Drosophila melanogaster: one gene and its partner. The protein of the gene in region 1 purifies or fractionates together with the protein of each later gene. This does not show direct contact. Each region holds a gene or a part of one and is shown in the gene's direction. Other genes may lie near its edges.

Region 1 (5,293 bases):
GCAGAGACAAAAACAACGATTACACCTGGGAAAACTAAAATAAGACGCATTTTGAATTTAAATTTTGCATTTGAGACTAAACATTTTTATTAAATATTTAGATAATAAACACATTCATATCAATATGTTGTAAACTTTAATATAAAAGTTACCAAAACTAAATTTTAAGATAAATGTATTGTAACCAGAACATACAAGACATAAAATTTAAATAGTTTACACTTTCGATAATGTAGCGAAATTATTCAACTTTTCTCGCAGTGCTGGGAAAAGAGGACATCATCCTAGGAGGACGAAGGGCGCAGCTGACGAATTGTGAAAAAAGTCTGACGGAGGGAAACAAGATGGTGGCACCACCAGAGCCCCTTCCCCTCACCCCACCAGTTTCCTCCCTTTTCCATGGGTCTATAATTTTCTGCTGCGTTCACACGCCATAGTCGCATTTTTTTTCCAACCATCTTTTGTTGTTTCCTTTGAGCAAACATTTAAATTAAAAACATTTACATACGCCGGTGGGCGGACAAAAGGGAGGAGTGCCAGGAACCCAGATATTCAATTATGATTTTTCAATTGGAGGACCCAGCACACGAGACACTTTCTCAGATAAGTCCTGTCGCAGGACTTTTTGTTTTTTCTCTTGACGGTCTGGAAAATTATAGGGTGATGGTTAGGATGTTTAAAGGACATTTAAAGGGAATGAATAATTACAAGAATACAAATACATAAATATATTTTTCTTGGAATTTGGTGAAAATACAACTTGTAACGAAACAATTCAATACATTTTTCATAGCTCAAAATTGTACAATTTTTTTGAATAAAATGAGAAAAATGTGGAAACAGAAAACATTTCGAAATATTTTACATAAAATGCTGGCAAACAATAAAATGATGGCAAATGCGGGATAACCCCTTTGTTCATTTTTTACATTAATTTCCTCTCCTGAATTTTATAGATTTCCCTACCATGTTTAAATATGCTTTATAAGGTTATGTTTATAAAACATTCATTTCAATGTTATAGGTTAGTTCTTAATATAAAATCGTTTATTTAAGACTTAAAAAATATGTAATCAAGAACAATAATATTAATTTCAGAGATACCATGAAATTAAATATTATTAAAAGAATTTTTCAATATTCTCAATTTATACAGTAAACGTAACTAGAACGAAACTCACTCGCTTTTCCACTCAACTCAGTGCGCTGTGGTGAATAGCCAATGAGAAACGGAATGGAATCGGACCGAGTTGAGAATAATTGTAAATAGTCGACGAAAAGCGGTGAAACACACCCCCAACCCCGACCAACAAAATCCACTCACACTCACCATAGCAACAACAACAATGAAGCAAAGAACTGTCAACAGCCAAAAACAAAATGACGAATTTATGAACTCCTCAGCGCGCTCTCTTTCGCGCTCCCTTGCTTCTAGCGGCACGAGTGAGATGGCAGCAACAAAAGGCTCTCACTCAAATACGGCTATATAGAGTTGTCTCGCTCTAACACGCGGCTAGCTTATGAATTGGTATTGTTTTGAGTGCATGGGAATGTGTGTTCGAATTGGAAAATGGAAATGAGTTATGCCTCGACGCCGACGTCGCTGCAAGCAGCATGGGAATGCACTGCATGTGTGGCCATCTCGCTCACACCAGTCTAATTGAAAACCGTATTTTTTCCCATATTTCTTTTGCGGTTTAAACTGGCGGTTTGCCTACGTCACGTAAGGAAAGTTTCGGGCCATGTTCTCTGGAAATGTTTCCTTACGTCGCGTTACGTGGTGTTGAAAACCTTTCGCCGTAAGACACATCAGCTGTTGTTGTTTCTGTTTTGGGGGGTCAGTCGACGTCGCAGTTGGCTTCGCTGTCGGCGTCCTCGTATTTGTTGTTGATTTTTGCGTTGCGTTTTTTTGTTGGTTTTGTTGGCTTTGGCTTTGGCGCTTTTGGCGTTTACATGGCGAAAAGCGAATTGGGATTCATTCAATGGTCAGCTGCGTGACTGTGAAGCAGCGACGGCGCTCCGGAATTTCCCGTTTCCTACTCGAGAATACGCAAATTACGATAAATAGCACGAAAAACCGGAGACCGCAAATACGGGCGTAAAGTCGTCAAGTCGCAAAGTGTGTCGTAAAACGTTGGAAAAAATAATACACATTATTTGCAAAAAAAAATTAGACAAATTTTATAATATTTTATTATTTAATAAAAAATCAAACGGCACAAGAATAATAACATACATACATATATAAAAAGGAAGCAAAGCAACTCTGTGTGATAAAGCAGTTTAAATTATTAAAAGCAAAAGCCGGCAAAAAATCAACAAATATGTTGAAGAAAATTGTAAAGAATTCAGTTTAAATCCGAATATAATATTTTAAAGAGCATTAAACAAACAAGTCCCAAAATAGTAGAACTAATGCAAATACAAACATATCAAATAATGGGCAACAAATAGGCAAACGATAAAGAAAATACCAACAAAAGCGGGAAAGAAAGTCCGAAACCTTTGAGAGCATATATTTGGCAAGAATTGGCTAAAATCCGTGCAGCAGCATTACCAATTGGTCTCGGCCCGAAAATGCTTTTGAGCAATCAGCCGGCGAATACGAAACCGCAGCAAACGCCTTCGCCGTCGCAGACGCAGAACTTCAAGTCGAAGCTGCAGCAGCAGATTGTTTCGGCAGCGGCGGCGGCAGCGGCGAACATAGCCAACGGCAGCAGCCATCATCATCATCATCAGAACCATCATCATCACCATCCGCTGAACAACCATCATAATCACAATCACAATCAGCACAACATTTCCTTCGCCACGGATTTCTCAATTGCGGCGATTATGGCGCGCGGCGGAAACGCCCCAAGCAGCCGCGAACCTTCGGAACGCAGTCTGAGTGAGTAAAGTAATTCCCGCACTAAAATATCAGGCCTACATCGCAAACTAGACTCAAGAGCTGTTCAAAAATAGCCAATGCATTTTAGGGCTTCATTTTCGATTGGGTTTCAGAACAATAAGTATCTTGATATCGTTAGTTTGCATGAAACGAGCTTAAAAACCAATCTTCATTTGAGTCCCATCGCTTCATTCATGAACGTATGTTTCTTATGATTCTTGAATTCATATTCAGCTCCTTACTACAAACAAGTTTCACTCTATTAACATATTCAATATTCCATTCTTTCGATTGAGACTAATAAATTGGCCAGTCAAAGTTTGAAAAGATTTTAACTCTGGCATATCTAGCATGTTGATGTTTATCCCAAGTTACGGGCTTGTCTGCTGATTTAACTATAAATATTTACGATCCAGGATTAAAATATGAAAGGCTTGATAAATGATTGAAAATAATCAAGCTGTGACGAAGAGCCAATTATCACATTTATGTATTATTTATGTGAATTTTTTAATTCAGATTTCAGATACAAGATTAGGAAAGTACACTCAAAATCGAAATAGAACTCGATAAAATCACACATAAGAGCAGAAACAAAATGCATTGCCAGAAAAATATATGTGTAGCAAATTGGCTTTGAATACTTGAGACTTGATGAAGAACAAAAGCAAATTAGTAGGTTAGTGTGCTAGCAAGAAAATTGAAATGTAGTTGATATTTCTATATATTTCTAGAAACACGTAAAGCAGTTAGGAAAATATATAAACATATTTCATTGGCTTTGGTAAAGAGTCATGTAATCGATTGCTTAGTAATATTCACTTGCTTTATTACCCACCTCTTGAAAAACTGTCGCAGCTGCATTACATTTCTATATTTTCCACATTTTTTGCTGCCCTTTTTGTGCAATATAAATTATATATTGATGACAATGCAACGTTGATGACTTGATAATTGCAGCAAATGCGCGGCAATAAAATAATCAAAGCCTATTTGAATGCGCCAAAGGGGTTGGGAAATGCACATGACAGGCGCAGAGCAGATACATATATATGTATAATCGCATTTGTATATACACTCTGAATGCAAAACTATTTAGATGCCATAATTGGGCAGAGACAAAAGCGCAAACAGATGCATTCATTAGTGTGAAAACCGACCCCCCCCCCACCATCGTGCACACCATTCTCTTTCAATTGGCAATTTTCATTGGCAATGCCAGCACACAAATACACACGAAATTAACATATGAAATTGCATTTTGAGCAAATAATTGAATTTCTGGCGTAATCTGTAAAATGCATCTGGTCGCGAACTGGATTCTCGTTGGCATTGCTGTTGCGACTCGTCATCGACAACATGCAACATGTTGCAGCCCAGCAGCAACTCCCACATTAACGAGCCACGCTGATGTCTCTCTTTTCTAAGTGCACTGAAAGAATATGCTCTTCTAATATGACAACAAACAATTAGCACTTATGTCTGTTAAGAAATGATATACTTAAATACACATTCTTTACTGTTAGAAATTCGTAGGAATCTTTTTTATAAACTTATAAGCTCTAAGTATCATTATATTTAATATTAATTATTTTTGGTTACTTGTATCAAACATTAATTTTTAATGATTGTGTTTTGTAGTTGCAAGTAGTTGTTTTTCCATAATTGGGACTTAGTTACTGACGCATTCTGCCCCCCATTCATTTCTGGTCGTGTAGGTCCCGCATCTGTGGAGCGCTATTCAGGCCAGGATGCGGACGATGATGTTGACGTTGATGTGGTCGACTGCAGTGACTCGGAAATGCCGTCGGCAACTGCGGCAGCAGCAGCGGCGGCAACAACAGCAGCGGCTGCAGCGGCAGCATTGCAGGCGCAGCAACAAGCGCGTCAGGCATTGCGTGTTGCACAGCAACAACAGCAGCAGCAGCAACAACAAAGGCAGCAGACACATCACCACGCAACAACTGGCAAGCAACAACGCCAACATCACAATCATCACAGCAGCAACACCAACAACAGCAGCAACTCAGGCAACAGCAACACCAACAGCAAATCAAGCAGCCAGCGAGGGCGTTCTGCTGCCGCAGTGGGAGCCGCTGCCACGCCCTCGCCACCGCCGCCCCCGCCCTCGCAAAGTCCGGAGGAACTCGAACGCCTGTCGCCAGAGGAATCACCAGCCCAGGTAAAGCTGCACAGAGACATAAATCCTTTTTGCTTCTAGAAAAAGTGGCTAGCAAAAAGTATTATTAGCAAAATTTATAAAATAAGATATAGGTACAAAAAATTTGATATAGGATTATTTCCTATCTTATATATTATATTATCTTATATAATAGATTTTATATATAGTAGATATGATTTTCTTTGTGTGTATGCATCACCAACTAAGTGTGGCGAAAGAAA
Region 2 (5,335 bases), on another chromosome or scaffold:
GCGGCTCTGGAGTTCCTTGTAAACAATGCATCTTCGCCAGTTAGCTGTGTGGTTTTCGCCACAGTTGCTGCATAACTTAATTAAACTGTCGTTTTTATTCTAAGGACAGTTTACAGTACTGTGGGCATCGCTGCAAACGACGCAGATAGATTTTAGAGTGCAGTACGCTTTGGTGTGGCCATATTCTTGGCAGTTGGTGCACTGCACAGGTTGCCTGCGCTTGTGTCGCTATTCTGTGGTTATTCTTCGGGGCAGTAAATACTGTAGCTTATATATAGGATGTACTTCATTTTTGTTGTTTTTCTGACTCGATGTCTCCAGTTCGAATTTAAAGAGTGGCTGCGGCTCTTTATTCCTGTGAGAATGTTGAGAATGTTGATTACCGTTTTGACGTTATAGTTCTTCTCCTTTAGTGCCGCGATAATTTCGGATGAGGTCACTGATGTCTCTATTACTATCCCAGCTTCGTTCAGGTACTTGGACACTGATCGGTGGCTAGACTTATCCTAAGTCTGCACTTTCGTTTCTTGTATGTTGCCCTTAGTAAGTGGTGTAACATGGAACTGTTTTCTCTGATAATTGCAGCTAGCTTGTTAACCAGCGCACTTGAGGTTTTCTCACGTATATAAATTGGTGGCGGCTTTATCTTTTTCTGCTCCTGCTCCTGCACTTCGCGGTCATCCAATGGTACAAACCCATTTGAACTTGAGTCATTGGAGCTGTTGGCGCGACTTATTTTCAGTAACAAACAAATAAACAAATAAGCTCTTAACCGAATTAACATTCTTCAAAACTGTGAACGTGACAGTTTTGGTCCAGAGTGTGCGTGGCAAACAGTTTTGGGGTGAATCAATGGAAATTTACAATAAAAATATGAAAAATATCAATGTATGGCAGCGTAGGGCGGTTTGTGGGCGTTAGAGTGGGCATGGCAAAAAGTGAAAAGTTTAGTTGCAACTGCCAAGCTCGTCAGTGTGGCTAAGACTAAACTTTAAAGCATTTTATCACGATCCGCGCCTTATTTCTATGCCTTTCAATTTTGGTCCATTTAAGAGTAATCATTGAGCGATCCGGAATCCATTTAAACACCAAATCGTGAATCGATAAGCCCCCTCATCGTTGACTCAACAAGCCGGAAACTATTGACCGAAGAAATCATCATACGTATTGACGTACACACAGGACAAGTTTATTCTAAAACACTGACCAAATTCGCACAAATTTGTTATATCCATACTTTTGAAAAAGGCTTGCAAAAGGCTTCATTTTATTTTGTTTGTCCATTGCTACCGACAAGACAAAGTCTATTAGCCACACCCACTCTAACAAGCCTTAAAAAACTGCAGCACACTTTCATAAATGTTTTGATGTTTTTTACTAACGCCCACAAGCCGATATTTTTTATTAGTTTTGTAAATTTCTATCGATTTGCCAAAAAAAAATTTGCCACACCCACTTTAACGCTCTAAAGCCACAAACTGGTCACGCCGACACTTTTGAACAGCTTTTAAATTTTTTCTCATTTAATTCCCCAATATTTATCGCGTTCGAATTCACACCAGCTGAGTAACGGGTATCTGAAAGTCGGGGAACTCGACTATAGCCTTCTCTTTTGTTCTTTGCTAAGCTCTAACGCGATGCCTATAAAATGTTAAAATGTCTTAAAATGTAGCACTCATACATACAAGCTAATTTAGTTTAGGAAAGTGAAAGATAAAGGTAAAAACAGCTCAAAACGCATCGAAAACTCCGTGAAGAGTTTCAACCTTAAATTAACAGAAGCAACAAATACTTAAATTAGATATATGTTAGTAATAAAGAGAAAGAGTCTAGTCACACAAGAGTTTCTACCAATATACATATGAAGCAAATGAATTAATGCATTAAGTTATGGCGTTTCGCCAGCTTTGCCTAATATTTTAATACATTTTTTTTTAAAAAAAAGGCTTATTTAGGACGATCTTACATTACATGAAGTATCAGAATTTAGGAAGGGAAAGAATTCATTAAGAATTTGTATACCAACTAAAACTTTTTGGGTACGCGTCTATCCAACATATAGAAATATATAAAATATTAACTGTGGACAGCAATCCACGTGGTGACGAAGCGCATTAGGAGAGTGTCCGGAGGAGACTTAAAAATCTGTAGTTAAAGTAAATTAGTTTTTTTTAAATTTGGGGCTGCTATGCTGTAACTGAACCCACTGTAAACAAATTACTTACAAAAACACGAAAAAATATATGTGTATATAGGGAGACGAAAGTGTATATTTCATAAGATCTATTTAAAATATTGTTTTTTAAAATAATTTCATATCCGAACTGTTGTAAGTGTATCTTGTTAAGTGTTGTTTCTAATCGCAAAAATCTACCAACTTATCGAGCACACCTGTGGTCTTGTTTATGCTTTCTTATCTAAACGAAAACTTTAAAACAAAAAGGCTAGTTGACGACGCTATCCCCTGTAGTTATTAGAATAATTCATTTTTTAAAATCAGATTCACACTTGGCAACTCACTGATATAACCCTAACAAATAAAAACACAGCTGTGTATTAAAACGTAATTTTTTTATTTCAATCTTATATAATGTATAAGTGATGCAAATAACCTAGACACCAAACCCTGTTATCAACATAAGCCCAGAGCCTACTGTGAAAGTTATTTAAATCAATACCACTTAAACGTTTGAACTCCTTAGGCGAAATAAATCTTATTCACGATCGACAGCAACCTAGGTTCAAACATTTCACACGCCTTTACCGTCGACAGCAGACATAAGCACTTTTCAAACTTTTAAACAAAGAGCGTTCGAACCAATTAGTCAGCATTAAAACTTTTTTAAAGAAAATATCCATCCCGTTTACGTATTCATCAGGTAACAGTTTTAAGGAATCGAAATCTTCTGACCAAAGTCCATTTTCGCTGCCCGTGTCCTTGTCACTGATAAAAACCGTTATTATAAGAATAATGCACTTTGTAAAATCAGTTTCAGATTGAAATTCTTACTGAAATTATTAAAATCTTGCTTGTTAATTTTATTTTCGAAGCGAAAACAAAACTTATATGTTTATGGAAGTATTTCGGAAGTCCACAGAACTCACAAAAGTTAAAACAAAAATAGATTTGACTTCAACCAAACTTTTTATTTGATTCTTAATAAAAATTGGTGGGGTATGTATTTAATTACCGTTCAGTTTCGCCCATTATATTATAGAGTTAAGAATATATTATATTATATATAATATATATTATATTATAGGGTTATAGATTAAGAACGCTTAAATGCAACTAAAGGCAACGCAACTACATGAAAGTAATACGTATTTTTTTTTAAATGTAATATATGATTCGGATTATTAACTTTTCTTGGCCTAGAATTTTCTTTACGGTATTATGAAATATAGAAACAACATTTACCCAACTCCCCAAATTAGCCATAGTCTGAACTAGTTATTATTTACGAAATCGATTTCATAATTATCGCCCCTAGAAATCGAAAGCCTCGTTTTTGTGTATTATTTGCATTGTGATTCAATATTTCATATATTTGAGAGTTAATTTTATCATCCAACCAATATAATGATTAAAAAAGTAATTTAATTATTTGTTTTTTAATTAAAAAAGCAGCGTGAACGATTTTAATATAATTATATATTATATATTCGCTGTTGATCCCTTTCAAATAAAAACATCGCAGAAAATTTTTTGTGATATTTCTAAATATTTTTATATTCTATTATTTTGTTAATAAGTAAAATAGGTATGTAAGATTTTATATTCAAGAAGCAATAAATTTCTTTAAAATTGTTGTGTTATATATAGCTTTTACAGTTCCTGAGTTTTAGGTTTGTTCATAATTGACACAGATGCAGGACGTTCGGAATATCAACCTGGTCAACAATTCCAGCAACAGCCATGATTCGTCTCTGGCAAACTCCAAAATGCCGCGCAACTTTAAACTGCTATCTGATCCACAGTTGGTTAAATGTGGTACCAGACTCTATCGTTACGATGGTTTAATGCCAGGAGACCCGTCCTATCCAACAATAACACCTAGAGATCCTCGGAATCCACTTATTCGCATACGCGCCAGGGCTGTTGAACCACTTATGCTTCTTATTCCGAGGTAACCATTGCTTAAATTAAAATATTTCAGCTAAACACCTGGTCCGTACCCATAGGTTTGTCATCGATAGCGACTACGTGGGCCAGCCACCTGCAGTCGAAGTTACAATAGTGAACCTAAATGATAACATCGACAAGCAATTTCTTGCTAGCATGCTGGACAAATGTGGAACATCTGATGAAATAAATATTTACCATCATCCCATCACAAACAAACACTTGGGCATTGCACGTATAGTGTTTGATAGTACAAAGGGAGCGAGACAATTCGTTGAAAAATACAATCAAAAGTCTGTAATGGGAAAGGTATGATGAAGTTTTTCAGCTTTTGTCTTGTTCTAATGTATCTATGTATTGTAGATCTTAGATGTGTTTTGCGATCCTTTTGGTGCCACATTAAAAAAATCTCTTGAGAGCCTTACAAATTCAGTCGCTGGAAAACAATTAATAGGTCCAAAAGTAACACCGCAATGGACATTTCAGCAGGCGGCTTTGGAGGACACCGAATTCATCCACGGATATCCTGAAAAGAACGGCGAACACATAAAGGATATCTACACCACACAAACCAATCATGAAATTCCAAACCGCAGTAGGGATCGAAACTGGAATCGCGACAAGGAAAGAGAAAGAGATCGCCATTTTAAGGAGCGCAGTCGACACTCGTCAGAGCGAAGTTATGACCGTGATCGTGGAATGCGAGAAAACGTTGGAACTTCAATAAGGCGTCGCCGTACTTTTTATCGACGCCGTTCTAGTGATATATCGCCGGAAGATTCTCGGGATATATTGATCATGACAAGAGAAAGATCTAGAGATTCAGATTCACGTCCTCGTGATTATTGTCGTTCTAGGGAGCGAGAGTCGTTTCGAGACCGTAAAAGATCTCATGAAAAAGGCCGAGACCAGCCCAGAGAAAAAAGAGAACATTATTATAACTCATCTAAAGATCGAGAGTACCGCGGGAGAGATCGCGACCGATCTGCTGAAATCGATCAAAGGGATCGCGGAAGTCTTAAGTATTGTAGCCGCTATTCATTGCATGAATATATAGAAACTGATGTTAGACGTTCTTCGAATACAATAAGTAGTTACTATTCCGCTTCCAGTCTTCCTATTGCAAGCCATGGCTTCAATAGCTGTTCTTTTCCTTCAATTGAAAATATTAAGACATGGTCTGATCGAAGAGCTTGGACTGCGTTTCAG

The links. The genes of interacting proteins can lie anywhere in the genome.
Region 2: the proteins of H15 (region 1) and Set1 purify together in Drosophila melanogaster (affinity purification with mass spectrometry, with the first as the bait; one large-scale study listed by BioGRID). This does not show direct contact.

Annotation. Positions count from the first base shown.
Region 1 is NT_033779.5:5,402,303-5,407,595, forward strand, and holds the start of H15 (H15), read left to right. Parts: upstream 1-1,977; 5' UTR 1,978-2,577; coding exon 2,578-2,890; intron 2,891-4,608; coding exon 4,609-5,072; intron 5,073-5,293.
Region 2 is NT_037436.4:25,105,475-25,110,809, forward strand, and holds the start of Set1 (SET domain containing 1), read left to right. Parts: upstream 1-2,119; 5' UTR 2,120-2,156; intron 2,157-3,522; exon of another isoform or gene 3,523-3,764; intron 3,765-3,803; exon of another isoform or gene 3,804-3,826; 5' UTR 3,827-3,870; coding exon 3,871-4,130; intron 4,131-4,185; coding exon 4,186-4,435; intron 4,436-4,489; coding exon 4,490-5,335. UniProt on the Drosophila melanogaster protein: Catalytic component of the COMPASS (Set1C) complex that specifically mono-, di- and trimethylates histone H3 to form H3K4me1/2/3. Binds RNAs which might negatively affect its histone methyltransferase activity.